Alligator mississippiensis: one gene and its partners. The protein of the gene in region 4 interacts with the protein of the main gene of each other region in a biochemical or structural test. Links are inferred from orthologs where the notes say so. Each region holds a gene or a part of one and is shown on either strand. Other genes may lie near its edges. The genes, in order: LPL, DAB1, APOE and LRP1.

What was found.
Region 1: the proteins of LRP1 (region 4) and LPL form a complex in vitro, tested with the Homo sapiens proteins (3 studies listed by BioGRID). The link is inferred for Alligator mississippiensis from reciprocal best matches to the Homo sapiens genes LRP1 and LPL.
Region 2: the proteins of LRP1 (region 4) and DAB1 form a complex in vitro, tested with the Homo sapiens proteins (2 studies listed by BioGRID). The link is inferred for Alligator mississippiensis from reciprocal best matches to the Homo sapiens genes LRP1 and DAB1.
Region 3: the proteins of LRP1 (region 4) and APOE form a complex in vitro, tested with the Homo sapiens proteins (2 studies listed by IntAct, with this or other methods). The link is inferred for Alligator mississippiensis from reciprocal best matches to the Homo sapiens genes LRP1 and APOE.

What each region holds. Positions count from the first base shown.
Region 1 is NC_081826.1:157,509,735-157,516,826, reverse strand, and holds the start of LPL (lipoprotein lipase), read left to right. Parts: upstream 1-4,090; 5' UTR 4,091-4,135; coding exon 4,136-4,199; intron 4,200-7,092. UniProt on the Homo sapiens protein: Key enzyme in triglyceride metabolism.
Region 2 is NC_081828.1:13,147,470-13,155,379, forward strand, and holds the start of DAB1 (disabled homolog 1), read right to left. Parts: upstream 3,004-7,910; 5' UTR 2,812-3,003; intron 1-2,811. UniProt on the Homo sapiens protein: Signaling adapter of the reelin-mediated signaling pathway, which regulates the migration and differentiation of postmitotic neurons during brain development.
Region 3 is NC_081838.1:31,168,786-31,176,798, reverse strand, and holds APOE (apolipoprotein E), read right to left. Parts: upstream 3,010-8,013; 5' UTR 2,913-3,009; coding exon 2,777-2,912; intron 2,231-2,776; coding exon 2,171-2,230; intron 1,496-2,170; coding exon 1,342-1,495; intron 1,048-1,341; coding exon 471-1,047; 3' UTR 345-470; downstream 1-344. UniProt on the Homo sapiens protein: APOE is an apolipoprotein, a protein associating with lipid particles, that mainly functions in lipoprotein-mediated lipid transport between organs via the plasma and interstitial fluids.
Region 4 is NC_081838.1:7,162,173-7,169,092, forward strand, and holds the start of LRP1 (prolow-density lipoprotein receptor-related protein 1), read left to right. Parts: upstream 1-3,905; 5' UTR 3,906-4,005; coding exon 4,006-4,072; intron 4,073-6,920. UniProt on the Homo sapiens protein: Endocytic receptor involved in endocytosis and in phagocytosis of apoptotic cells. Required for early embryonic development. Involved in cellular lipid homeostasis.

The DNA of each region.
Region 1 (7,092 bases), on a different chromosome or scaffold from region 4:
AGTTGTTCCTTTCCCTCATTTTTTTAAACTTCCCACTTCAAGTCTCCAGCTCTGTTAGGAACACTGTCATACAAGTAGTATTTTTGGATCTGGGTTTCCCAGTGGGTGTAGCAATGTCATTTAGGGGTATTTCTACAGCAGTTCCCTTGAAGTAAGGGCAAAATGCAGCCATTTGGGAATTTTGGCATATCTATTAATTTATTTTGTGTTATCCTTTTCCATGGCTTTTTGGTATAGTTACCAGCCTCATTTTGCAACTCCTGTCTCCAGTCCCTCTGGACTTTTTTTAAACTCGTTAGATAGAACACATTCTAGCTTTTACTTTATTACCTTCAACCCACTTCTGAATTTCCTGAGACTATAAATCAGTCTTTGTTTTATAGATTTAGTTATGTTTTCTCTCATAAAGTTGTTTACTTTACAGAGTTTCCAAAATTCAAATCCAGCTAATGGTTGGAATGAGCGTATATAGGTCAATGCATGAAGATTCCTTGCAGTCTGATGACAATTATATGCAGCTGAAAGGAAATCTTTGAAATACTGGGAAATATATAGTGCCAGAACAGTCCAACTACAAGCCATATAGAGTTAGGATAAATATTTTTCTTCTTTAGGTCCCACTTACTGCAGATTTCCTTATAATTTGGTTGAAAACAATTAATACTAGTAGTTCATTTGTTCCAGACAATATCTTCCCCCCTTAAATTGCAAACACAAAAGGGGATTTTGTATAGCATTGTATGGCATACTCCTAAAAGACAGTATGAATATAACTGAGGGGGAGAAATGGACTCAAAAGAGCAATTTCTGTGTAACAAACTTGATTTTCCTCTATACGGCACAGCACACAAAGCGAAGATGTTAAGCACTGGCTCTACTCAGTGAATTGCTTCTGGTCAGCAAAGCACTTGATAATGATCCAAAAAGAAGTGGCCCATTATTTGTTACTACATTTTCCTTCTCAGTCATTAAAAGGCAACTAAAATTAATGCCTTCCAAATGTTACTTTTTAGCACAAGAAGTTCATAAGGATGCAACTCTGGATGGGAGCAGCGTTATCTAGAGTTAAGGTTGTTTGACAATCTCCATTACAACCATCTGCTTTAAATTGTTTGTACCTGTTAGCAAGCATTAACTAGTTGAGCTGACATTTCCAGGTAAGATGTCTGTCTCTTAATGAACTCAGTGTGATTTTTTTGATGGGCAGTGGAAGCACATTTCATGTAAAATGATTAACAGATTGCGACTAGAGGAAAATATGTTGCTTAATACATGTTTAAAAAGGCTTGTGCCTCTTTCGTTGAGAAACTCTGATAATCTGTTTTGCAGCAGAAGCTTGAAATTTGGTACGCTGGCAACCCTGGTACCGAGATGTGCATCTTGCTGTTGAAGAAAGGCTTCTCACATTTGACTAAGTTATACAAGCCTTTTCAAAATCTTGATTAGGAGTCTGGAGGCTAAATTCTCAGAAGATCCCATCTGCACTGAACATGTTCCAGCCCAATGGTGCTGCAGCTGAGCAGGACTGTATAGTGTTGAGGGCAGAGAGCTTGTCTCTCTTGTGCTCTTTCAGTCAACCCCTACCGTACCAAGGAAGCATGCAGGATATAGAGCCGGGGTAGGCAACCCCCAGCACGGGTGCCAGAGTGTGGCACTCGAAGGCATTTTGCTTGGCACACGTGCCTCAGGGTGGATGGCATAGAAGGGGCCGGGGCTACATGGTAACAGCAAGGATTGGGCCCCTCATAGCTCTCCTGTCATCCATCCCTGGCACACCAACATCTTACAAGTTGAAGTTGTGGGTGTTTTCGGCACTCTGCCCAAAAATGTTGCTGACCTCTGATATAGAGAATACCTTCCCTAAAGTACAGAGGAGGGGCAACAAAGAGACGTAGAGCAGGGGGAGCTACGTATAGGAGAAGAGAATAGCTTGACGGCAATATAGGTGGGACAAGAGCTGGAACAGGAGTGTAGATTGAGACAGACAACCTTAAATGACAAACTGTTCCTAGGGGCTAATGAGAAGGGGGACTGATCCAGCTGGGGAGAGCTGGTGGAGACATGGGAAGATCAGCCAGGCTTGATGAAAAGGAACAAAAGGAGCTGTGCCTGCCATGAACCCGCTTCCTTCCAAAACCTGGAATAGGTTCTCAGGTCTCTACACTTAGGAAAAGATCTGTGAAACCCACTGGTAAAGCATGTTTCTCACCCCCCTCTAGTGGCTGGTCCACTGAAAGAATGCTATCAGGTGCTCCAGTAACTCCCGTGGCATAGGTCTGGGCAGTCCATCTACATGTCCCAACCCTGCCCATGGCATGTGGGCATCTAGATGGTGCTGCACAATATAATTTCTGGGCTTTCCCCCCACTTTTTTTTGTAAAAACCTCAATAAACAAATCAGACAAATTATAGTGCACAGGCATGACACTGTTTTTAGTTATGTGACCCAGTGGTGTTTTTCGCTGCAAGATCCCTGATTCATTCAGTGAAAAGGATGGGCAGTGGTCTGGATAGCCCAGGGCTGTGCAGTGAAGGAGGCTGTTGTCTGCCCTCATTTCTGACAGAAGTGGGAAGGTATATACTGAATGAGGTAGGGGACCACAGAGAGAGAAAGAGAGAGAGAAGTTGGTTTCATGGCTAAGAGCAGAACTCTGCCTTGGGTTCTGCCTGCCTGTGCCCATGATGCTAGGGAAGTCAGTGCAACCGAAGGTTTCACAGGTAGTTGCTAATTGCCTGTCCCTCATTTTTGGGGTGCTTGGCTTGAGACCCTAGTCTGATTTGCAGTTGTGTGGAGCTCTCATATGTGCACCTGAAACCAGTGTGAACCGGTGCCTTACACACACAAAGTGCTACTTCACACGAAGTGCTCTGAAAAATCAAGCCCTAGACTTCTAAAAACCAGCCCTGAAAATTATGATACCTTTTCTTTCACCTGAATCTCTCTGTGCCTTACATCCTCCACTGTAAAATGAAGACACTACCTGTTGGCTTAGGGCTGTTGGGATGGCCAGTCCTTCTGTCTACTGGCCAAGCTGTCAGGATGAGGAGAGACCATGAGGAAACGGGGTGTGAATTGAATTTCCTGCAGCATGGATGGCCGGGGAGACCTACCGAATGACCAAGAGCAAATTAGGCACTGGACAAGCCTTGTCCATCCTGGGGGCTGAATAAGATGGGACCTGCATGGGGGACAATACATGCCAGGGTCACTAAGAGCTGCATGGCACTCCTTGTGCTGAACGAGCAGCATCCGGGCCACCAGACTGTCCCAGAAGGTGGGCAGCTTTACAGATGACCCACATCTCAGTGTGCTCGTACCTGTAAGGCGAGCTGCAAGGATGTTCTGTTTTTTTCATGAACGCTGCATGCCCCCAGAGGCTGGGGGGGGCATGGTGAGCTCCCGCAGGCGGTGGCAGCAAGCGACGAGCTCCTGTAGGCGGCAGTGGCACTGTCGACGGTGGGAGGGTGGGGTGGTGGTGAGCTCCGACCGATGGTTGGCGACCACTCACAGATGCCGCTGGCAGTGCTGGTGGCCCCCAGCGGCGATTGGGGACCACCTGCAGACGCTGCTGGCGGTGTTGGCAGTGAGGACAGGGAGTGGGGTGGCGAGCAGCAACCAGCTTCAAGCATCGCCAGCTGAGTTGGAGGCGCCTTTTTGCAGGGGGTGCACTGCCACACTCAGGGGGTGCACGTGCCGCCAGTGGGTTTTCTGCTACTCAGTCCTCTGTTGATACGGAGCCGGGCGCCTGTCTGTCCTCAAGAGAAAAACAGACGTCGCCCGGAACGGGGTCAGGGCCCGACCAACTTTTAGCACGTTCATTCAGCTAGCTGCGCAGTGAAAAGAAACTGCGATCCAGTTTTAACCGGAATGACAACTGCGCATCTGGGAGTTACAGAAATGAAGGTGCTCAAAGCTGGTCCCGGCCGTGCCCGGGCCGCCCCCTACTCCCGCCGCTGAGGGGCCGGGCCGGGGGCAGGTCCCGCAGCCGGCGCGGCCCCGCCTGCACGTGGTGGCCCCCGCCCCGCCCCGCCCCGCCCCCGCCCCAGCCAATAGGTGCGGAGGCATATTTGCATATCTGCCCTCACTTAAGGGGCCGCCGGGGCAACGCGGACTAGTGCCGCCGCGGGCGCTGCTATGGCGTGGGGCGCGCTGCTGGTCGTGCTGTGCCTCTGTCTCCGCGCCCTCGCTGCCGGCCCGGGTAAGGGGAGCGGGCGCGGGGCGGGGAAGCTGGTAGCAGGGGCTGAGCTGAGCTGCGGGGGCCCGGCCGGTGTTCGGGGCTGCACGTGCGCACCACAGGCACCAGGTGGAGCAGAGCGGGCGGGAGTCCTCTCCGCGGCTCGTCCGGGCCCGGGGGCAGCCCGGCTGTCGCTCCCTCGGGAGCAGGCTGGGCCGGGCACACGCGGGTGTCTCCCGCCGCGCGCAGCGCTGTGTAGAGGAGCGTGCCGGCCTCCGCGTGGCCCCGGCGCCACCTCGCACGTGGCAGCGGGGTGCAGGTGTTCAGCACCTCGCAGGGGGCCCACGCGGCGAGGCGCCCTTGGGAAAGGCGAGCGCGGGTCCGGACGCAGGAGTCGCCAGTTGCGGTGTTGCGGCCTGATGCCACCGGAGCAGTTAAAACGGGCCTGGCCCGGGCACTGCAACGTGCAGGTTCGGCCTCTGGCTTCCCAGTCCTTGGGTTCCGGATGTATTCGGCTGCGTGAAGGCGGTCGCTGCGACACAAGTATGCTGTTAGGGCAGGTTGCAACTGCTTTTTTTTCCTTTGGATGTACACTCGACTTTTTTCCAGCTGCGCTTCTCCTCTCTAAAGCCGATGAAATGTAGACTAGAGAGACAGCTGCGTGTACAGAATAGCTATCACTAATTCTCACTTTACTAATCCACAAACTTTAAAAAGTCTTTAGCAAGCTGAGTAGTCGCAGCCCAGTGCCCATCAAAGATCTAGTAACGGAGCAGTGTTGGCTGCACGATAGAGCCTCTGCTGGCAACACAATGTTAAAAGAGGCCCGTGGTGTAGACACAGCATCTGTTGACAAGACTCTGCTGGCACAGTGACACCACGCTCCCAAATGGTATATAAGCTAGGACTATGTTTATGCTGTGCAGGCTGCTGCTACTTGAATAGCTGGGGCCTCTGGTGTGAACACAGCTTTCCAGCAGAAGGGGGTTCATTACTGCCAGAGCTACCCTAGCTCTCCCTGCTGACGGCTTCATCCACTCAGGGTTTTGCAAGCTGGGCTGTGCTGGCTGTGAGGCCTGATGTTTTCACACTGGGCAGAACTGTTATGTGGACAGGAGCTAAGCTGACAAAAAGCTACTCCTTTCATCAAAGGGTGTCTGCACCCAAGAGGCTTTGCAGGTGCATTTACATAAGCTAACAGGGTGTGATTTTTCTTTTTCTCACTAGCTGACAACCTCACCTGTAAAACTTGATCATGTACACTAAGCCCAAGTCTCAGACTTACACCCTGCAAATGTTGTAAAAGAAATGACTGTGTTCGTACACTTCAGAAAGTCCAGGCCCGTTGAGAATAGTTTGGACACTTGTATCCTAACCGCTAAGTGAAACTTTCTCTTCTTCTAATAGGATGATCCTATTAGAGGCACTGTAAATAACAACAGAGCTGCAGGGCAATATTAAAACTTAAGAGGAAGGAGTGGTGGTAAGGCACACTCGAAGGAAGGTAGTGTCACTTTGAATCTAATCTTTTTCTAGTAAAGGTACTTGTAGAGTGCCTTTTAATCAATATCAGAGCAGTGTTAAAGGAAGTAGTTAGCTTTCCTCTTGGAGGAAGTTTGTGGGTATTTTTCATTCCTGTTGGCATGTCTTTCCTTTGGAGGCTTCCCAATTAATGCATTGGCTCTTCTCTAAGAAGAGGTACTAGGGGATACGAGACCATCCTCTGTCCATTCTACACTGCAGGCCTCAGATGCTAGTTCTTACCTGCACTAAACTACTGGGGATGAAGTGAATAAATGTTTTCAGAGGCCTGAGAATGCAGGATTTGATCCCCAAGTAAACATGAAACCGCTGAATCCAGAACCCTTCATAATGCATAAAAGAAGTTCAAGGGAAGGAATCGTGCAGAGTTAAAATCTGATCTCAGTTTTATTATTGTAGACCCTAAATAGCATCATATAAATCAGTGGCATTGCACCTGATTTTACATTGTTGTAATTAAGAACAAAATTAGGCCAGCAGCTTTTGGTGGAGCTTAAAAATATGACGTATGGGGTACTATCAACAGAGCTGCTACCATATAGACTCTACAGGGGGAGATGAACCACATTGTGTGATGGGAAGAACCTGCATTAAAGTTTTACTCTGCACTGTAGCTGATTAACTTGGATAACTCCGGACCCTCCGGGCAGAACAGCCAAAAGGATGGGGAAAATGCTCCCAGCATATCATTTTACAAGCATGCCAAATGCATTTGAGTTAAGCATTTATCCCACAGGGAAGCACTGAGATGTAGTGCTAGCTTGTGGGTAGACTTTTATGCCTATGTGTCATCCTCCTGGGCTTTGAGAGCTCTGTACAAGTATAGTATATTGCCCATGAATTAGCCAGTTGCAAGATGTAAGTTGTGGATTTCAGGAAAGGGATACTTCAAGTACGAGAAGAATCTCTTGCGTTGTCCAGTTAAACCGCTTTTGTGAACTGTTACATGGAGTTGTAACTACTGCATGGTTTCAATTGTTTAAACTGTTTATTTAGATAAAATTTAATAGTTGTGGTATATAGCCCCTTAGTTACAGTCAACTGAATTACAGAAGTGGTTTTATTATGGGGCCTGCGTTAACGTAAGCAACTTGGATGGTAATTCAGGGTGACTGATGTGTGATGTCATACCGTATCTTATCAGCTGCAGGGTCAGCTACTTCAACAGAACTTTTACTGTTGTTTGGGTAAATGTTTGACTTCATGTATGCATGTTGGTTTCAGTGGAGCTTTCCCAGTTTACCTGGGCTGAGGATCTAGCTCAGGATTGCTGCATGTATCTAATGATTTGTAAGTCTACCTCTGTGTACAGAATATTGGCAAATTGGGGAATTGTTGTTGGTTTAGGTTTCCCACAGTAATTCAGAGTTCAGGT
Region 2 (7,910 bases), on a different chromosome or scaffold from region 4:
GTGGTTTGGGATGACTTGAAAAAAGGGTTTTGTCCCATAATCCCAGCTCCTCATTCAGGGCTATGCATTAATACATGATATTATTTTACATTTTTTTTTTATGACTAAATATATTTTTGATGAACTTGCAACTCTTTAGCACATCTAATTCATTGCTAATAACCGTTTATTGTTTAAAGATTAGCTTTGAAAAAGGAACCAACTTCAGCCTTGGCTCATCTCTCTGAATGTCTGTACGCACCCATGACGTGCAGGACAAGCAGCCAAGCGAAAGCTATGGGGCGAGTCTGGGGGAAATCGGCACATCTTAGCATTGTCAGACCCTGGATGGAGGGCATCACCTGCTGTCTTCTTCTGGTCAACCAGAATTTCATCTCCCACCCCAAATGTGCTTACTCTCTCTCACAAACACACACTTAACCCTTGATATTTTGTCCAAGCAGGGATGTAGCTTACCATAAGCCTCAAGTAAGTGTAAGGACTATAAAATAGACCCATTCTTTAGAGCATGGAAAGGATAGGCCAATGATTAGTAGGACACTAATTTTGGATTTAGGGCAACTAGATTTAAATTCTTACTTCCACTTCCTATAGGAAGTCCGGAAAATCACTTAGGCTGTATTTTCACTGCTTCTGCAAGACCGCTAATGCACAATAGTTATTCTCCTACAAATTTCTATAGAAACAAGTTTTCCCAGTAGGTAGCTAGGCAAGCTCTATATTATACCCCCTGCCATGACTGACCTCACAGTGCAATTACAGTGCCTTTTCTCCACTAGGATTTTACAGCAAACTAGTTAGCACGCATCAGTTATTCTGGAGTAAAAATTATTTGTAGCGGTGAAAACAAAGCCTAAAATGTCTCGGTGCCTTGCATAAAAAAAAACAACAAAAAAACCCAGGATATTTGTACTTTCTTGCCATGCCAGGGTACTGTGAAAAGACTCTGCAGAGCTCAGATGCTAAGATAACAGGAGCCATATTGGAGTTAGCAACTTGCATTTTACTACTGCCACTGGTACTTTTTAATACTCATCACGGCATTTTCACATCTGACTGCCAGCAACAGCATCCGGGAAAGAACAAACAAACAACAAAATGGACATTGCACAGAGAAGCCGAGATAATTATGTTTTCCTATGGCTAAAAAATGCAATCCAAGGTAGGATGGGGTTTAGGAATACATTGTCCCTATTTGGTGCTAGAAATTGTAGCAATGATTACTAATAGACCTCTGTGAAGTGTAAAACATTACGTTGATTAGTTTCCAGCAGTGCCATTCCGCCTGTGAAAAACAGCCTGAAGTAAAAATGAGAGCGAGAGAGATTGTCCACTGCTGTGTTAAGAGAAGAATTCAAATTCCATACCATGCTGAGTAACCACATATAAAACCAGTACCTGTGACAAAGGCTCCCAGCTGAGCCCATGTACAGTGGGTAGCCCATTCTCTGCATACAAACTCTAAAATATATTTATGGTCCATTTTAACCTGGTGGGTTTGTTTTTTTTTTAAATGGTGTTCGCATCTCTTAAAACAATAGCGGCAAAATCCGCTGGCAGAACAGCTGCCGTGGCTGAAATGCAGAAGTGGGGGAAAATATTTCACTCAGTATCCTATGCAAGAGAGAAACATCGCAGGGAGACAGGCTCTTAGCATTTTTCCAGACGTAGGAGAGAACAGGTGCTTCATCCGTGGTTTTATACTCAAACTGTGCAGGCATCTTTTTTTTCCTGACTTTACTGGTGGATCCGCTACAGAACTGGAGTAAAAACATCCTAGCAAGAAGCTAAGTCTTTTCAAAAGAAAATTTTATATGCCAATGACTTCCCCGGGGAAGTGGTGTTTGAAGGTGCTGGACTGGGACTCAGGTGACACAGCAGGCTTAAAGTGGTGACTAAGCCACAACCTTACTGTGCGACCTTGAACAAACTGCATAGGGCCGGCTATTTTGAGGTGTTAAACATCTACACCTGGAGATCAAAATGCTCGGGCACTTCTGAAATATAGCTCTATAATACCCTCCTAACTGAAACTCCTCACAGGAAAAAGGGAGGTAATGATGTATTCAGGAACTATAGTAAAGGATGCCATAGTAATTCAGAGGTAGATAAACAGGTTAAGTAAGAGCAACTTCTGAACAGCAGACTAAAGTGTGTCCCTCACCTCTTCCCTACTCGGACTTCAGAGTATCATAACCCTGCTAATACAGCCATCCAGCAAAAGACTAGAGAAACTTATTTGTATGGTTCCAACACAAGCAGAAAAAAAAAATAAACCCATTTTTTTTAAATAAAGCCTCCAAGTTGCCACTTATCCATCATAAACAAGAAATGCAAAAAAGGAGTGGCAATTTTCCTTTGCTTTGCAGCTCAGCTTGAGAGGCAAAACATTTGCAAGGATGCATTTGCTGTCTACCAAATTAAAAGCACAGGAGCTCCAAGAACCTAAAATAATAATAGCTTATTCTCCACTTAAGCCAAGCTAGTATTTGGAAACATTAATGCTCTGCCAACAGTTTCATAACATATCAGAGAAAATATCTGCTATATAGACAAAGTAATGCAATAATACTAAAACCTGTGGGTTTTGCCCTAACCTTCCCTCGGACACTGTAATTCTGTAGTTGTGCACAACCTAATGAGGAAGTGATTCTCAGCACTCTCGCAGTTTAAAAGCAATGCCACGCAAACCAGCTAAGCATCTGACCATGCAATGTTAGCAAAACCTCTTTCCTCCATTAACTCAAACGCATTCCCATCACAAACTATATAGACATGAACATTTCTTACTTTGTTGCTGCCTTAACTCACCTCATCCTGGTCAGAAGGAACACTAAGGATAGACTTTCAGTACCTCTAATGACTAGTAAAAGTAAAAAGATTTTGTACTCATTTTGGTTGCTTTCTCTCTCAACTTGAGAGTGAAGAGAAAAAGCACACTCAGCATTTAACTAGCTCTCTGACACCACCTGTTACACTCCACCTTGTTTCAAGCAACCCAGCTGCTGAATTCCAACTGCCCCTCCCCAAGCTGGGGGGAGCTAGGTTTGAGCAGTGAAAGGAACCCAATATGTGCTAATGGGTGGGCTTGTGCTAATTAGAAAATTAAGTGAACAAAATAGCTGTGTCATGGTTAGCTAGCAATGCTTTTAGTCAATATGGGAGGGAGACGGCATGCTAGCTGTGTAAATCATTAACTATTTCTTTTATTTTTTGCCCAGAGGCAGCCAGCTACACTTCTGCATATACTCCATAACTCTGTGTACTTAAAGCTCAGTGCTTGCATTAAGAATAAAACTCCCAAAGAAGTGTTCACACATGCAGAAGTGAACGCTGGTTTATTTACCAACCTGCTGTCCCTATCCAAAAGGCAGTTTGACAGGCAGACTGACAACAAAAGTAATGCCGGAGATTTTTTTTTTCATGCCTGCCTACACACCAGTCACTTCCAAGCTCTGAAACAGGCTGCTCACTACCTGCTGTGTTGATCTACTGCTTTCCACAGGGCGACTGCCTTGGAGACAGCTGATGCCTCTGCTTCGCTCTTACCTTGTCTTTCACCTAGTCTCCATGTGTTCTTAGGTGTATCTCCAATTTGTCTCATTGAAAAGCAAGCGGACCTTCTCTGGCTGACCTGCGTTGCTCAAAACAAGTGCTCACTTTGAATCTGATTTTAAAAGACACCATCTGTTTTTAATGGAACAAAAAATTCTCCCCTAATTAATTACACCTCAAATAATTGTATTTACTCATCTAGCCACTTAACTGAATTCAAAGGTCATGTACTATCATTGTGACAGGGTCCTTGGGGCCATCAATAATTTATATTTTATGGCAAGGAAAAAAGTTCATCTATGGGATAAGTGGGATCATCTAAGACAAAAACTGAGTCCATTCAGCACAAGGATGTGATCTATGTACTGCATCCAGAACAGTGAACTTGTGAATCAAAAGTCATTCAGCTTGACTGATGCAGCGTGTTTACAGATGCAGAGATCAGAAGGTCTATGAAATGCTGGCTGTGGACATAGGGAGGTGAAAAAGTGAGGGAGAGTAGTCTTTGTATAACTTACAAGGCCATGGCATTTGCCTAGAACAATTATTCCATCATGGAAATGTTAATGCCGCGGTACCTTGATTTAAATAATGAACTCAACCAAATGGAACTTGATAAGCAGCTCAGAGGAGGCGGAGAGGACTCAACAGGAAGATGTCATGTCCAACCAGGGAATGGTCAGATTGGAGAGATGGGATCCCTTCCCTTTTCTTCTCAAGCTAAGGGGAGCTTTCAGTAATGGGCTTTGACAAGCATTCGCCGAGATATGTTAGGCAGACACTCAGAAAAAGGAAGTCCCTGTCTCAAGAAACTTATAGTGGAGCTCCATTTAAGCATTAAACCTAAACCTACACATTCTCAAATAAATGTGCTTCAGTCTAGGCCCCCAGTTCCTTAATTAGGAAATGGAATAAGAGTAGCTTTATTTCACATGTAGAAAGCACTGGAAATAAGGACATCCAGGATGCCTGAAGGTCAAGCCCTGAGAATTTAATAGATTAGACATGGTTAGGCACATACGTTTGAACACATGTGGGCCTTAATCCTCTGCATCTCAGGACTTGTCTAAGTAATCCAAGTTGCTGTTTGATGAAACCCATCTAGTAGTTACTTGACATGGCTGACAGTAGGCTGAATTTTTATCGCAAGTAGCTCATGAACATAATGCAAGGTTGAAGCATGCGTGTCCCGTGGCCCATGCAAGAATGCTGTTCCTGCTCATGTGTGTATGAACGGGTTGCCCCCTGGTGGCTGCCTTGCAGAATTTATAACTGGAGTGGGGCTTTGTGACTTGTATATTAAGAGGTAGAGTTTGGGAGGCAACGCTGAAGCATCAAGGATATAATTTAAATTAAGTTTGTAGACCTTTTCCTTCCAAAAGTGGCATTAAACTATAAACCAGATACTGGATCCAGTTGTCTCTGAGATTTTCAGTAGAGTTCTTAAGTTATTCGTGAACCATGGTCTCCCCTGCAGTTGCACATGGGTGGTCTTTAGGACCTGGGTGTGACAGGCTGCGCCACCTGGGGCCAAACTTTGTGGCCCACCCACCTGTCACCGTGACAGCAGGCCTACTCAGGGCTGAGCTCTTCGTGGCCTGCCCACCTGTCTCTGGGCAACCGCCCGCTTATCTCGCCTGCCACGCCTTTGATAATAATTGATTCATATATCGATGTCAATTAAGCGGGAGGCTACCTATCGTAACGCCCCGATGCCGGGGGGCGCTCTGCGGCTCCGACCTCCCCCAATACTGCAGCCCAAGCCTCGCAGATGGCATCACGGTGTTCCTCATCACCGGCCCCATACTGGGCCCCAGAATCGTCCTAACAGGACCCCTCTATGATCCTTCCAATCAGGCAGCCACTCCACCATCATCCAGGCTACCTAGCCCCCCCGAAGCTATCTTCCCCTCTCGGGTGTGGTTCCCCCAGAACCTTTGGCTACCAGCCCTGGCCCACCTCAAGGCCAGTCGGGACCCCAGGCCCCCGGCTCTTGGGCGTCCCTCACGGTGGGCCCCCGGCCCTTTTGACCCTCACTGGTCCTGGCCCCAGCATGGGCCAGTCGAGGGTACTATCCCCTTCGGGCTGGGTCTCTAGCCCCTCTCTCTCATCCTCGGGCCTCACCGTGCCACTACTCCCTTCCTCCTAGGAGCAACCGCAGCACCACGCCCTGTACACAATGCACTCTCAGGGTCCACCCTTTCTGGGCCCCTCACAAACACTATCAGGGTTACCCACCCGGTGGTGGTGGGAGCTAGGGGTTAAGGCACCCCAACCCGCCTTTCACCGGGGTGGTAACTGGCCTGGTATTTCCTGGAGGCTCCCGCGCCACTGAGAGCACCACCAGGCCATCCACTCCTGGCAGGGTGCAGTTTCAGGTCATGCCCAGGACCAGGACCAGGACCAGGACCAGGACCAGGACCAGGACCAGGACCAGGACCAGGACCAGGACCAGGAGCCTCCTGCCAACCCCTTGCAGCTCCCCCCTTACCTCCAGGTCATTCACAGCAGCCCTACAACCAGGCAATGTTGCTACCTGCCCTCCTGCAGCCAAACTGCCTGGTTTATATAAGCAGCCTAAGCCTCAAAATGTCTGCCCTAATCAGGCACCTGGAGGCTGCCAGCTCCAGGCCCTTAAAGTGGCAGAGACACCCTGTGCTCTGCCACACTGGGCTAGAGGATACCTGTTTCAGGAGAGGCTTACTGATAGGATAGCAGACTGCCTGCAGATGACCGAGTTCAAATCACTTAGGCTTAAGCTTAAAAAAGTAGCCTTTCAAATTTCTGGGTATCTAACCTCATCCATCTTGGCCTCAACTTCCAAGGGTGCCAACCAGCACCAACTCCTTTTGCAGACCAAACGAAAGTAAAGTCACCGCAGGTTGGACACGTGAAAACTGAAGGCACTTAAAAACAAAAGTGATTTTTGAAAATCATCACCTAAATATTTCTGTCTTGGTTTCCCTACCAGGAATGGAAAAAATACCAGTCTTGGAGAAACATTATGAGTTTTTATTGATATACGCAAAGCCCACTGTACACATACCTCACATCCTGAGCTACTCAAGAGATTAGAACAAAAAAATGTAAAGTAAATATTACTTCCAGGAAATATACTGTGGCAATGTTTAGTTTAAAGAAATATCTCAGGAAATACCATAAAAACTCTGGTATTCTTACTCATCGGCCTCTTTAGTGCTAAGCAGTGAGTTGAATTTATTATACCACAAACTTCAATTTCTTTAAAGGAAAAAAGAAGGGGGGAAAAAATACTTTGGCACTTTACATTTGCAGTTCTCCTCCTCACATGCTGATTTTGTTTCCAGGAGTCTCTTTGCCTCATCCTGTATCTGCACACCTCTCTTACACCTTCTGATCCTGCTGGTTTCAGACTGATACCCAATTTCATTCATTTCTCCATTTCTAACACATGTTGTCAAACATGTTTTCCCCTGCAGCAAGGCTTAGTCGTAAATTCATCTGGAACTTTTTACACCACTGTTGCATTTGCATGCTAATCAGAGAAGCCTATGTCTTCTAGCCTAGAAGAACGAGAAAGCTCCAGCTGAATGCTTAAAGAGACTCTGTAGTTTGCAGAGTTAGAAGTCCCTCATTACATTTAAGGGGACCCTCTATGAGGTTCATTTAATCTATCAGGATTCAAAGATGGCCTTTAACCTCATTCCCCAACCCCCACCCCATCCAGTATCACAATTTGACCTCTCCGGGTCAATGCCATGGATTTTCTGCCTCCAGATGTGACTTTCTATTCCCCTGAGCTAATACTGGTAACAACAAGGATGAGATTGAATTTCTCAACTCGTGGGTGAAATATTGAAAAGAAATGATCATTTTAACAACTGCTGTTTACTGATGTTAAAAAGATTATATCATTTCACCATAACTCAGGCCTCTTTCAAACCTTTGCACTTACCAAGTTAAACAGAAAACACTTTGATCACTTCTAACTAGATGATAAATACATATATCTACTACAGACAGATGTGAAATCCATTTTTTTCCGTAAGACTAATAAAAAAAAAATCTCTTGAAATCTGATAAAAATATTTTTTTTTTTTTTTGCTGATACAAATAACATGAAATCTTTAAGGGGAAAGTGAGTGTTTCCCTATTTGTTGATATAAATCTTGTCTGATTCAAGATCAGCAGCAAATTTTGAGAGCTTTTCCTCCATAAAATACTGGTTATAAATGATGCTCTCACTGCTTAGCAATGTTTAGTCAAATATTAATCAATAATTAAGGATTAATCAATAACATCTGGTCTTATACCCCAATATCTTAATTCTGGATTCAAGTTATGAAATGCAGACCCTGGATCTGAAGACTTCCTAA
Region 3 (8,013 bases), about 24 Mb from region 4:
CCAGATTCACTACTCTCTTCCACAGACCCATGTGAATTCAGGGGCTGATCCTGATTCACCCACTGGAGAACCTAAGTGAACGCTGAGGTCTGCTCTGGATTCACTACTGCCCCCACGAGCCCCATGTGCCTACTAGGACCAATCCTGATTAACCCCCCACCACCACCACCACCCCTGGGAGCCCATGTGAATGCTGGAGTCTGCTCCGGATTCACTACCCCCTCCCGCCCCGCCGCCCCGTGTAACCACAGGGGCAGATCCTGATTCACCCCCCACTAGGGAGCCCCAACCCCATCAGTTCCCCATGGGACCCAGTGGGAAGCAGAGAAGGAGCAGGACGCAAGTGCCTGAAGCAGGCCTTTATTGAGAGCGTGACAGTGGAGACTGAGGGGGGCACGGGGCTGGGGAGGGGTCCCTAGCAAGTGCAGAGGCCAGTGGGGGCAGCAGGCCCTGCGGGGCTGGGGAAGCGCCTACTGCTGCTCCTTAGCCTGCAGCTTGTCCAGCAGCCCCTGCATCTGGGTGCGGATGTCCTCAAGGAAGGGTTCGAGCCACTCTTGCAGCTGCGTGGCTGCGCGGTCCAGGGAGCCACGCATCTCCTGGGCGCGCACCTCCAGCTGCTCACGCAAGCGCTGGCCCTGGTCACGCAGTGCCTGCTGCAGGGTCTCCAGGCGCTGCTGCCCCTTCTCGCGCAGCGGCTCCAGGTCCTCGCGCACGGTCTCCAGGTGTTGGGTGGCTTCCTTACTGTAGGCCTCCAGCTTGCGGCGCAGCTCCTCTGTGTCCTTGGCCAGACGCTTGCGCAGCTTGCGCAAGTAGGTGCCCACGCGGCTGCGCACATCTTCCAGGTTCTGGCCCGCCACTTGGCGAGCCTCACCCAGGTACTGCTGCACCCGGGTCTTGGCTTCCTCCATGTCAACACGCAGCCGCTCGCCCAGCACCGTCACATCTGTATGCAGCCGCTCCCGCATCACCACCGCTTGCGGGCCCAGCCGTTCTTCCACGTCCTTTCTGTACGCGTGCAGCTCCGCCACCACGTCCTTGATCAGCATGCTGTAGGGAGGCAGCGGTCAGCAAGGCCAGGGCACAGCCCCCAGCACCCCAACAGCCAGGCCTCAGCACTGAGCAGGGCTGGGGGGGGGGGGGGGTGTCACAGGCCTCAGGACCCCAGCAGGGAGCAGAGCTGGGGGGGTAAAAGCCCTCCAAGGACCCCTTTTCCACAGTCTTGCCTGGGAAGGCTGGTCTGTGCCCCGCTGCACTGAGCCCACAGGGGTAGCGGGGGGCTGCCCCCACCTACCCCCATTCCCAGGAGCCCCCTGAGACAGCAACAGGGTGGGTGGCACTCACTCCATTTCCTTGCCCATCTGGGAGCTGGTGATCTGCTCCGTGATGTCATCGGTAGCTAGGCTCAGCCGGTTCACGTACTCCCGAAACACTTCCACGGTCTCTTCCCACTTGGCCTTGACCTTGGTCTCCACGTCCTGGACGTCGGCCTGGCAGGCTGTGTGGGATACATGCACACATGGAGATCATGGGGTGAAGGCCCCAGTGTGCCACCCCCAGACAGGATCCCAGCTCCCCGTGTCCTACTGGATGCAGACCCCTCCCAACCAGGATCAGGGCTCCCAGCTGCAATGGGCTGGACCTGGTGCTCCCCATTGTCCCACCCAGGCTGACCCACGGAGCAGCGGGCTGAGCCCTGGCCCCCCACACCAGGGCAGCACAGACACAGGAGAGGCTGATGCATGGGGCTGCGCGGAGCCAGGGCATCATGGGCCAGGGTCCAGGCTGCCCCTTGGCTGCAGGGGGTGGAGGGCGATGCTGCACCCTTATCTCCTCATCTCCCCGGGCGGGCGCGGCTCACACAGCCTGGCGCCAGGGTTTACAGCCTGGGGGGAGAAGCGGGCGGATCGCCCCATTCCTTGCTGATGAGGGCAAGGGCTGAAGGTCGTTTCCAGCGGGACCGAGTCCCGGCTCCTTGTGCCGGGACAGGACCCCAGGGCTCTCGGCTCCTTGTGCAGAGCTGCTGCTTCCTTCCCCGCATGCGAGAAGGGAAGAGTCCCTGTGCCCCTACAACTACGGGCCCCCGCCTCGCTCCGACTTTGCCCCGCGGAGTCGCTCCGGACCGGGCGCGTGAAGCGTTCACACAGGCGGGGGGGCCGGGCTGGGCTCTTACCCGCCAGCAGCAGCACGGCTCCGAGCAACACGGTCCAGACCCTCATGGCTGCGGCTCCACCTGCGGGGAGAGGCCGGGGCGCGGGGTGAGGCAGAGCAGGGCCCTTGCTGCACCCCTGTCCCATCTCCAGTGCCTCCTCCCCGGCTCCAGCACCCCATGTCCCAGCTCCAGCACCCCCACCCCGGCTCCAGCACCCCGTGTCCCAGCTCCAGCACTCCCTCCCTGGCTGCACCCGGCTCCAGCACCCCGTGTCCCGGCCCCAGCACCCCCCTCCCCAGCTGCACCTGGCTCCAGCACCCTGTGTCCTGGCTCCACCCGGCTCCAGCACCCCGTGTCCCGGCTCCAGCACCCCGTGTCCCAGCTCCAGCACCCCGTGTCCCAGCTCCAGCACCACCCCCCCCGGCTGCACCTGGCTCCAGCACCCCGTGTCCTGGCTCCACCCGGCTCCAGCACCCCGTGTCCCGGCTCCACCCGGCTCCAGCACCCCGTGTCCCGGCTCCAGCACCCACTCCCCGGCTGCACGCGGCTCCAGCACCCCGTGTCCCAGCTCCAGGACTCCCTCCATGGCTGCACCCGGCTCCAGCACCCGCTCCTCGGCTCCCGCACCCACATCCAGCACCCCGTGTCCCGGCTCCAACACGCCCTGCCCCGGTCGGCCCCGGCGCGGCGCACCTCCTTCGCAGGCTCCTCGGAGACCACGGGCAGTCCTGCGAGTCTGAGCCAAGAGGTCCCGGCGGCGCATTAAGTACGGAGCGGCGCCGGGGGAGGCACCACCTCCGAGGCGGCTGCAGGGCAAAGGTGACCCCCCTCCCCCCGAGCCGGCCCGGGGCAACTTCCCTTCGCAGGGAAAGTCTGAGCCCCCCGCGCCCCGCCCGACCCGGGGGCTGCAGGGGGACGGCCGCGTGCTGGGGGTGGGGGGGGCTCCTTGTGACTCTGATGCAATCGCGAGCTTCCTCCTCTCGCCCCGCACAGGAGATGACCCGACTTGTCCCTGCATCCCCATCCCCCGCCCTGACCTCTCCCCTGCACACCCATCACTGCCTTCCCCCCAGCCCCGACCTCTCCCCTGCACCCCCATCACTGCCTTCCCCCCAATCCCTGACCCTCTCCCCTGCACCCCCATCACTGCCTTCCCCCCAATCCCTGACCTCTCCCCTGCACCCCCATCACAGCCTTCCCCCCCAGCCCCGAACTCTCCCCTGCACACCCGCGCCCTGACCTCTCCCATGCACCCCCAACACTGCCTTCCCTCCCCAGCCCCAACCTCTCCCCTGCACCCCCATCACTGCCTTCCCCCCCCAGCCCCGAACTCTCCCCCTGCACACCCGCGCCCTGACCTCTCCCATGCACCCCCAACACTGCCTTCCCCCCCCAGCCCCAACCTCTCCCCCTGCACCCCCATCACTGCCTTACCCCCAGCCCCGACCTCTCCCCTGCACACCCCGCGCCCTGACCTCTCCAATGCACCCCCATCACTGCCTTCCCCCAAGCAATGACCTCTCCTCTGCACACCCCCGCCCTGACCTCTCCCATGCATCCCCATCACTGCCTTACCCCAATCCCTGACCTCTCCCCTGCACCCCCATCACTGCCTTTCCCCCAGCCCCGACCTCTCCCCTGCACCACCATCACTGCCTTCCACCCAGCCCCGACCTCTCTCCTTTACACCCATTACTGCCTTCCCCCCAATCCCCGACCTCTCCCCTTCACCCCCATCACTGCCTTCCCCCCAGCCCCGACCTCTCCCCTGCACCCCCATTGCTACCTTCCCCCAGCCCCAACCTCTCCCCTACACCATCACTGCCTTCCACCCAGCCCCGACCTCTCCCCTGCACCCACAACACTGCCTTCCCCCCAATCCCTGACCTCTCCCCTGCACCCCCATTACTGCCTTCCCCCCAGCCCCAACCTCTCCCCTGCACCCCCATCATTGCCTTCCCCCAATCCCTGACCTCTCCCCTGCACCCCCATCACTGCCTTCCCCCCTAGCCCCAACCTCTCCCCTGCACCCCCATCATTGCCTTCCCCCAATCCCTGACCTCTCCCCTGCACCCCCATCACTGCCTTCACCCCAATCCGTGACCTCTCCCCTGCACCCCCATCACTGCCTTCCACCCAATCCCTGACCTCTCCCCTGCACCCCCATCACTGCCTTCCCCCCAGCCCTGACCACTCCCCTGCACCCCCATCACTGCCTTCACCCCAGCCCCGACCTCTCCCCTGCACCCCTATCACTGCCTTCCCCCCAGCCCCGACCTCTCCCCTGCACCCCATCACTGCCTTCCCCCCAGCCCCGACCTCTCCCATGCACCCACATCACTGCCTTCCCCCCAATCCCTGACCTCTCCCCTGCACCCCCATCACTGCCTTCCCCCCAGCCCCGACCTCTCCCCTGCACCCCCATTACTGCCTTCCCACCAGCCCCAAACTCTCCCCTGCACCCCCATCACTGCCTTCCCCCCAGCACTGACCACTCCCCTACACCCCCATCACTGCCTTCACCCCAGCCCTGACCTCTCCCCTGCACCCCCATCACTGCCTTCCCCCCATCCCCGACCTCTCCCCTGCACCCCATCACTGCCTTCACCCCAACCCTGACCTCTCCCCTGCACCCCCATCACTGCCTTCACCCCAGCCCTGACCACTCCCCTGCACCCCCATCACTGCCTTCACCCCAGCCCCGACCACTCCCCTGCACCCCTATCACTGCCTTACCCCCAGCCCCGACCTCTCCCCTGCACCCCCATTACTGCCTTCCCCCCAGCCCCAAACTCTCCCCTGCACCCCCATCATTGCCTTCCCCCAATCCCTGACCTCTCCCCTGCATCCCCATCACTGCCTTAACCCCAGCCCCGACCTCTCCCCTGCACCCCCATTACTGCCTTCCCACCAGCCCCAAACTCTCCCCTGCACCCCCATTACTGCCTTCCCCCCAGCACCGACCTCTCCCCTGCACCCCCATCACTGCCTTCCCCCCACGCCCGACCTCTCCCCTGCACCCACATCACTGCCTTCCCCCCAATCCCTGACCTCTCCACTGCACCCCCATCACAGCCTTCCCCCCAGCCCCAACCTCTCCCCTGCACCCCCATTACTGCCTTCCCCCCAGCCCCGACCTCTCCCCTGCACCCCCATCACTGCCTTCCCCCCAGCCCCGACCTCTCCCCTGCACCCCCATCACTGACCTCTCCCCTGCACCCCATCACTGCCTTCCACCCAGCACCGACCTCTCCCCTGCACGCCCAGCACTGCCTTCCCCCCACCCCCGACCTCTCCACTGCACCCCCATCACTGCCTTCCCCCCAGCCCCGACCTCTCCCCTGCACCCCCATCACTGCCTTCCCCCCAGCCCCGACCTCTCCCCTGCACCCCCATCACTGCCTTCCCCCCAGCCCCAACCTCTGCCCTGCAGCCTGATCACTGCCTTCCCCCAATCCCTGACCTCTCCCCTGCACCCCCATGACTGCCTTCCACCCAGCCCCGACCTCTCCCCTGCAGCCCGATCACTGCCTTCCCCCCAATCCCTGACCTCTCCCCTGCACCCCCATCACTGCCTTCCCCCAGCCCTGACCACTCCCCTGCACCCCCATCACTGCCTTCACCCCAGCCCTGACCTCTCCCCTGCACCCCCATCACTGCCTTCCCCCCAGCCCCGACCTCTCCCCTGCACCCCTATCACTGCCTTCCCCACAGCCCCGACCTCTCCCCTGCACCCCCATTACTGCCTTCCCCCCAGCCCCAAACTCTCCCCTGCACCCCCATCATTGCCTTCCCCCAATCCCTGACCTCTCCCCTGCACCCACATCACTGCCTTCCCCCCAGCCCCGACCTCTCCCCTGCACCCCCATCACTGCCTTCCCCCCAATTCCTAACCTCTCCCCTGCACCCCCATCACTGCCTTCCACCCAGGCCCGACCTCTCCCCTGCACCCCCATCACTGCCTTCCCCCCAGCACTGACCACTCCCCTACACCCCCATCACTGCCTTCCCCCCAGCACTGACCACTCCCCTGCACCTCCATCATTGCCTTCCCCCAATCCCTGACCTCTCCCCTGCACCCACATCACTGCCTTCCCCCCAATCCCTGACCTCTCCCCTGCACCCCCATCACTGCCTTCCCCCCAGCCCCGACCTCTCCCCTGCACCCCCATTACTGCCTTTCCACCAGCCCCAAACTCTCCCCTGCACCCCCATCACTGCCTTCCCCCCAGCACTGACCACTCCCCTGCACCCCCATCACTGCCTTCCCCCCAGCACTGACCACTCCCCTGCACCCCCATCACTGCCTTCCCCCCAGCCCTGACCTCTCCCCTGCACCCCCATCACTGCCTTCCCCCCAGCCCCGACCTCTCCCCTGCACCCCCATCACTGCCTTCCCCCCAGCCCCGACCTCTCCCCTGCACCCCCATAAATGCCTTCCCCCCAACCCCGACCTCTCCCCTGCACCCCATCACTGCCTTCCCCCCAGCCCCGACCTCTCCCCTGCACCCCCATTACTGCCTTCCCCCCAGCACCGACCTCTCCCCTGCACGCCCAGCACTGCCTTCCCCCCAGCCCCAACCTCTCCACTGCACCCCCATCACTGCCTTCCCCCCACGCCCGACCTCTCCCCTGCACCCCCATCACTGCCTTCCCCCCAATCCCTGACCTCTCCACTGCACCCCCATCACTGCCTTCCCCCCAGCCCCAACCTCTCCCCTGCACCCCCATTACTGCCTTCCCCCCAGCCCCGACCTCTCCCCTGCACCCCCATCACTGCCTTCCACCCAGCACCGACCTCTCCCCTGCACGCCCAGCACTGCCTTCCCCCCACCCCCGACCTCTCCACTGCACCCCCATCTCTGCCTTCCCCCCAATCCCTGACCTCTCCACTGCACCCCCATCACTGCCTTCCCCCCAGCCCTGACCTCTCCCCTGCACCCCCATCACTGCCTTCCCCCCAGCCCCGACCTCTCCCCTGCACCCCCATCACTGCCTTCCCCCCAATTCCTAACCTCTCCCCTGCACCCCCATCACTGCCTTCCCCCCAGCCCCGACCTCTCCCCTGCACCCCCATTACTGCCTTCCCACCAGCCCCAAACTCTCCCCTGCACCCCCATCACTGCCTTCCCCCCAGCACTGACCACTCCCCTACACCCCCATCACTGCCTTCCCCCCAGCCCCAACCTCTGCCCTGCAGCCCGATCACTGCCTTCCCCAATCCCTGACCTCTCCCCTGCACCCCCATGACTGCCTTCCCCCCAGCCCCAACCTCTCCACTGCACCCCCATCACTGCCTTCCCCCCACCCCCGACCTCTCCACTGCACCCCCATCTCTGCCTTCCCCCCAATCCCTGACCTCTCCCCTGCACCCCCATCACTGCCTTCACCCCAGCCCCGACCTCTCCCCTGCACCCCATCACTGCCTTCACCCCAGCCCCGACCTCTCCCCTGCACCCCATCACTGCCTTCCACCCAGCCCCAACCTCTCCCCTGCACTCCCATTACTGCCTTCCCCCCAGCCCCAAACTCTCCCCTGCACTCCCATCATTGCCTTCCCCCCAATCCCTGACCTCTCCCCTGCATCCCCATCACTGCCTTCCCCCAAGCCCCGACCTCTCCCCTGCACCTCCATCACTGCCTTCCCCCCGATCCCTGACCTCTCCCCTGCACCCCTATCAATGCCTTCCCCCCAGCAATGACCTCTCCTCTGCACACGCCCACCCTGACCTCTCCCCTGCAGCCCCATCACTGCCTTCCCCGAATCCCTGACCTCTCCCCTGCACCCCCATCACTGCCTTTCCCCCAGCCCTTACCTCTCCCCCGCTTCCCCCCAACACCCATGAGCCCAGCCTGGCCTGCTG
Region 4 (6,920 bases):
AGCGCAATGGGTAGGGCCGGGCACCGTTCAGGCATGCCTGCCCTGGCCCCCTGCCCATGCTCCCACGTCAGCCAGTTGGGGCCACACTGGGCAAGGACCCAGGAGGCCAGGTGCCCTCCCACAGCTTGGAAGAACCTCGGGCACCCGCCCAGAGCTGGGGAGGACCCGAGCCCAGGGCCGCTGGAGCTGGGGAGAGCCCGGGTGTCCGGGTGCCCCCCCGAGAGAGCCCGGGTGCCCGCCTGGAGCTGGGGGAGAAACCAGGCGTTTGGGAGGACCTCCCGCCCCCAGAGATGGGGGACAAATCAGGAGTCCGGGCGCCCCCCCTGCCCCGAGCTGGAGGACAACCCATGAGTCCTGGTGCCCCCCCCAGCTAACAGGCCCCTGGTGCCAGCTGTGCCCGTGCCCGGCCCAGCCGGGTCCTGGTGGGGGGACACTGCCCTTGGGGTTTGGGGCTGGGCACAAGGGGGGATTCCCCCCCCAGCCCAGCACCCCCCATGGCCCCCCCCCGGGGACCCGCCCACCGGGCCCAGGCCAGGGGGGAAACTGAGGCAGGAGCGCGGCGGCAGCGGGGGCGCAGCCGGGCCGGGGCACCGGGCACCCGAGCTGCGCAGGGGACCCAGGCGTCCCGCCCCCCCAAGCCCCCCCCCGGTACCTGCGCTGCTCCCGGCCGCGGCCGCGGGACCGAGCGAGAAAGCGAAAGTCGAGAGTCAGGAAGAGGGAGGAGGCTGCGGGGCGGGGTGGGGGGGGGCACGGCCAGGCCCGCCCCGCCCCGGGCACGGCTCGCACCCCACCCCGCCCCGCCCCGCCCCCGCGGGCCCCTCACTCTCGCCCCGCACCCCTCTGCCCCCCGCCCCGCAGCCCCCTCGGACACCTGGGTTCCACCCCCGCCCCGCCCCGCGGGATCACCCGTGCCTCAGTTTCCCCAGCCCCCCCGGCTCTCCCGCAGGCGCCTCGGGGCAGGCAGCTCAGCCCCGGGGGCTTCCAGACCCCAGTTGGGGTCCCTGCCCGACCCCCGCCTAGCGACGGCGCTTTGCTACCCCCTGGTGGCGGCGGCGGGAACTGCAGCCCTGGCCGCTTAATCCGGAGCGACTCCGCTTCCCGCCGCGTCTGAACGCAGCGCCCGGGGGAGGAGGCAGGACCCCTCCCCCGGCTCTCGGGGATAGACTAGCCGAGATCAGGGGCCTCAGGAGCGGGCCCCCAGGATCGCTCAGGATTGGGCCACTCAGGATCGGACCCCCAGGACCAGTCAGGATCGGACCCCCCCAGGCCTGTCCTGTGGCTCCGGCCGTGGCGGGGGGGGGCCGACCCTCCGTGTGGACGTGGCAGCCCCGATCCGGAGGGGGTTCCCCGGGGATAACGACCCCCTACCGCTGCCACGTGGAGCTGGGGGGGGGGGGGGTCAGCCTCCCCACTCCCTCATCCCTGCGACGCCGCCCGCTGCCACCAGGGGGTACCCGTGCACCGCCGGCCCCCCGCGCCCGGGGCACGTGTGTGTTGCACGAGTGGCGGGGCGCACAAGGGGAGGGATGTCTATTTACGAGGGGCAAAGGTGTTGCACCGGGCTGGGGGTGGGGTCCTGTGGCACCAGGGGCTGTCTATCGTACCAGGAGGGATATGGGCCTGTGGCAGGCAGTGTCTGTTGCACACCCGCTGTGTGCTTGGTGCATGGGGGGGGGGTGCCTGTTGCACAAGGGAGTGTGTGCCTGTCGCATGAGGGAGTGCCTGTTACACAAGGTGGTGTTGGTTGCCCAACGGAGTGTGTACCTATCACACAAGGGGGGTGCCTGTTGCAGGGGGGCTGTTGCACAAAGAGGGGGTATGCCTGTCACACGAAGTGGGTGTCTGACTTTGCGGGTGTCTGACTTTGTGGGGGCCCCACGACCAAGTCCCTCCACTCTCGCGGTCTCCACTCCCCCTGGGACCCTCAGGCTTGAGCTTTTGGGGTGTTGGGGGGCGGTCCGGGGGGACTTGTGCAGTCCCTGGCACAGCAGGACACCCCCTAGTCACATGGTCTCTGAGTGAGGGGCAGGGGCTGAGACCCCCTCTGAGAACTGGGGGGTGGGCACCCTTCACCAGGAACGCCCCGTGGGCCCAGTGCAGGGGGGGGCCTGATCCTGTGCCGCCTCCTCCCGCCAGGGGGGGACACAACAGTCGCTCCTTTTGCTCCCAGGCTCCCCTCTCCACTCTGTTCTCCAGGTTGGGACTGCCCCAGTTCCCAGAGTCAAGGGAACTGGGAACCAGTCCCAGCTGGAAGCTGGGCTCAGCTGGGGCTCGGGGGTGGGGAATGTGGGGGGGTGACAAGCATGTGACCTGCTGGGGGGGGCAGAGAGGACCCAGCTGTGATTCCAGCCCTGACATCCCCCTGCTGCCGCGCCCTCACAATCCCACATTCCCTGGCCTGGAGGTCGGAGCTGTGATTTTCCACCCCAGCCCCAGACTGAACTGCGAGTTGGGACACCTGGGTCCAACGCTCCCCTCTGCCCTTGCCCTGTGGCATCCCTGTGCCTCAGTTTCCCCAGCCCTGCCCCTCTGCCTCCCAGGCCTTGGGGCAGGGAGCGCAGGCCTGGGGGCTTCCAGACTCTCTTCCCACCCCCACCCCCTGCCCTGTCTCCTGCCCTGAGCATGGGGGAGTGTCGCATGAGGACGGTTGTGGTCCTGTTGCACAAGAAGGTACGCACACCTGTTGCACAAGGGCTGTGTGTGCCTGTTGCATGGGGTGTCTGTCACACAAGGAGGGATGTGGGCTTGTTGAACAAGATGTGCACACCTGTTGAACAAGGGCTGTGTGTGCCTGTTGCACAAGGGAGTGTCTGTCGCACAAGGAGGGATATGGGCCAGCCGCAGGAGGGGGGTGTACTGTCGCACGAGGAGTTGTCTGTTGCACAAGGGCTGTGCGCTTCTTGCTCCCTGGGGTGCTGCCTGCCTGCCTGGGCCTGGCTTTGCCAGGAGCCTGGAGGTTTGCAAAACGCCCTGTCACGGGGCTGTGGCTCCCATCCAGGACCGTGGCCCCTCCTGCCCAGCCAGCCGCAGCAGGGGGGCTGCCCTGCCCCAGAGCCCCCCAGGGCTGATGCATCCAGCCCCCAGCTGCATGGTGGGTCCCATGCTCTGCTGGGAGGGTGAGCCCTTGCCACCTGGCCTGACATGCAGCTGCCGCTGGGGAAGGAAGGCTGGGTCCTGGGGAACTGGGGGGTGGGGGGAAGGTGCCGTCATTAATCTCCAGGAGAAACAGAGCAGCCCTAAGGGCTGCTGGGCCCCTCCGTGCAGGGGGGATCCTCTGCCTGTCCCCAGACTCCTGGGTTCCCTGTACTGCTGCAGCCCCCTCCCGTCCTGGCCAGACCTGGGTGCAAGTGCCCCCCCCCCAGAGGTTGGCTGGGTTTTACTGGGGGGTGTGGGGTGGTCCATCCTGGCTGCAAAGTGCAAGCACTATCACACTGTATGGGGTCAGGTAGCTCCCCTTGCACTATCACACTGGGGAGGTTAGGCAGACCCTCCCCTTGCGCTATCATGCTGGCAGGGTGGTTGGACAGCCCACTCCTTTAAACTATCACCCTGGGGGGGTCAGGCATGCCCCCTTCACTATCGCTCTGAGGGGGGGTCAGGCACCCCCTCTTGCACTATCACACGGGGGGGTTGGGCAGCCCCCCCTTACACTATCACACTGGGGGGGGTGTCAGGCGCTCCCTCTTTGCACTATCACACTGGGGAGGGGTCAGGCCGCCCCCTTGCACCATCCCAGTGGGCCGGGCCCAACCCCCCAGTCGCAGAGCTCCCCTGGCCCCTTCGCACACCCCATCCCCTCCCTCGCCGCGCATGCGTGGTCCGCCCGCCCCCCCAGCCCATGACGTCAGGCAAAGGCGGTGCGAGCCCCCCCGCCCCGCGCGGAGCCGCCCCCCCGCTCGCCTCGCGCCGCCCCCCGCTCGCAGTGCACCGGGCGTCCGCGCGGAGCGGGTGGGGGGGTCCGGCCCGTGCATGAGCCCGCAGTGAGGAGCAGCCCCCGGCCCGGCCATGCCCGCCCGCGGCCCCGCGCTGCTGCTGCTGGGGCTGGCGGCCGGCCTGTGCCTGGCGCTGGACGGTGAGTGCCCCGCGCGGGGCTGCGGCTTTGTCGTGTCTGCGACCCCCGGGGCCGGGGGCGTTTGCAAGGCCCCCCCCCCCGGGGAGCGACCCTCCGTGGGGCCGGCTGATGTGAGCCCCCCCAGGCTGGGGGGCTTGGGCACGGGGGTGTTGGCAATGCCCCCCCTTGGGAGGGACCCCCCGTGGGGCGTGAAGCGGGAACATTGCACCCCCCAGGCTGGGGGGGCTTCAGGACGGGGGTGTCTGCAAGGTCCCCCCACCCCAGGAGGGACCCTCCGTGGGGCAGGGATGTTGGACCCGCCCAGGCTGGGGGGCTTGGGGGTAGGGGTGTGGGCAAGGCCTCCCCCGAAGCAGGAGTGTTGGACCCTACGTGGGTGCCCCATCTTCGCACCCCTGGGTGCCCAGGGATAGCGGGGGGCCAGGGAGACAGAGGCCCTGGGCTTGAGGGGGCTTTGCCATGACAGGCACTCCAGTGGAGCAGGAGGAGCTGGATTTATCCCCCCCACCCCAACTCCGGCTGGTGGGGGCCAGGGGTGGCAGGTGATGGGGCCCCCCAGGCCTTTGGGAAGGAATCTGCCCCCCCCCCATCAAATCCCCCCTCCCGGCGCTGCATTGCGCCGCTGTGCGTGACATGGCATCTCCCCGCGGCTGAGAGGGGGAACGGCCAGGCGGGTCCTGGGGGCCCCGGCCCTACAGCAGGGGGATGTCCCTTCGGTCGCGGGGGCTGCATTGAGCCCCCCCTGCACCCCCTGGTCTGGCTGCAGGGGCAGGGGGAGAAGGGAGCATGGCTAAGCCCCATGGGCTGCAGCTTGGGTCCTCCTTTCCAGGCGTCCGCTGCCCCCCTGCATCACGTCAGGGCTGGGGCGACACCAGCCTGCCCAGCTGGGCCCCAGCATGGGGGTGGGTAGGAGACAGGACATCACCTCTGCTTTCAGGCGATGAATTTTGGGCATCTTTCAGCCTCCCCCCCTCCCCCCCAACTTGTTCCCTGCGGGGCCGCAATCGGGGCTGTACACATCTCCGCTGGGTGGCACGGGGGAGGCTCCGTCGCTTTGCGCTCTCTTGAGACCGGGAGCAATCACGGAGCAATCAGGGAGCAATGTGGCACCATGGGCTGGGGTGGGGGGCAGTGAGGGTCATCCGGGGTCATGCAGGGAGTGGGGGGCGTGGGGGGTGAGACCCAGAGCCCAGCAGAGGCTGCTTCTTGCCAGGGTAGAGTGGGACCAGCGGTCGGCTTCCCGGGCAGCATGGGAACATGGGCTGCAGGCTCGGAGGGTGCCACAGATGGGGGCTCAGCTGCAGCCGGGCCCAAAGCTTCGTCTCGAGCAGGCGGGGGCCACTCTCCGGATGCCCACAGGGTGTCCAAGGCCTTCTCCTGGCTTTGCAGCATTGGGGAAACTGAGGCACAGGGCTGAAAGGTGCTTTGGTGTGACCCTGGGTTCCCTGGCTGGCACTGCCTCTGCTGGGTGCGATCGGGGCCAGGGACCAGACAGGAGGGGGGGCACGGTTATGGGTGGGGGGTGAGGACCGTCCAGCAGGGACAGGATTGGGACTTTGCTGCCGCCCCCCCCCCCCCCCCCTTCGGTGCTGTGATGGATGCAAGCCAGGGCAGGGGGAGCTGGGGGAGGGCACTGTCCTTGGCCGGTCCAAAGCCTAGCAAGCTTAATGAGTAATGGGGCTGGCAGCCCCTCAGCATGGGGCATATTGGGCAGCCCCCAGCCGACAGGGGCAGGGCTGACCCTGTGGGGAAACTGAGGCATGGAGCAGGCTCTGCAGACGGACCAAGAAGTCCTGCCCCACCCCCTCAGCCCTGCTCCAGGGACCTTCCTCCCTTATCAGTTGTTTGATTAGCAGGGTCTGGGGTGAGCTCCTGGGGTGGGGGTCTGCATGCAGAGGAGGCAGGAGGCAAAGTCCAGGGGCAGGAGGGGGCAGCTGCCCCCTCCCTGTGGCACAAAGGACACGGGCAGCCAGCCTCCCCCCCACACGGTGCCAGGGGGCTGGTGCAGGGGCTAGTGACGTGTCCCTGGGCATGGGTGGGGGCAAATCAGGCCCTTGTGGTCCCCAAACCTGGGAGCTGAGGGGGGCCAAGATGAGGGGGCTACGTCTGCCTGGCTCTGCCCCTATTGCTGCACCCTGGGTCAGTGACCTGGTCCTTTCTTCATCTTCCCTTTGCTCTGGTTTCACTTCTCCTTCTGGCCTCCCGGCCCCCAGCCTGGCTCTTTCTCCTGCCCCCAGGAAGCCACAGGATTTTGCCCCCAACTCGGCTCGTGCTCTTGGCATTTCAGGAAGGATCTTGGGACCTTCCTCGGTTTCCCCAGGCAGCTGGAGCCTCTTTTTTAGGATGGCTAACAAAGCCAGGACCATGCCTGTGTGGGGCACCCAGCATCCCAGCCCCCCCCTCGCCCCTGCACCCTGAGACCGTGGGATGGTGGGGGGTCCCTTTCTGGTTGTCTGGGGCCGCGGTGTTCCCGATCTCACCATGTCCATCGAAGGGGTCAACCTCTCCCAGCCTGGCAGAGGTTTGGGGGGGCAGAAGCCCCCCCTACACCCCTCGCAGGCCCCTGGGAGGTAGATCCATGCCCCCCAGAAGCAGCCAGGGCCTGTGCCTGGTGAGCCACGAGCAAGGTGCGGGCGTGCGGAGCCCAATTTAGCGCCTGGCAGTGACTCACGTCCTTGGCAGGGAGATTTGGGGGGGGGGTTGTACAGATCTTTGCTCCTGGGGAGGCTTTAGGGCCTGGTCCCTGTTTCTGTCCCCTCCCCGGGGGGCCTCATCCTGGTGGGCCCGTGGCGGGGGGGCATGTTTGACCCACGCGACTTCTTGCCTATCACAGTGCCCCGGGGAAGAAGAG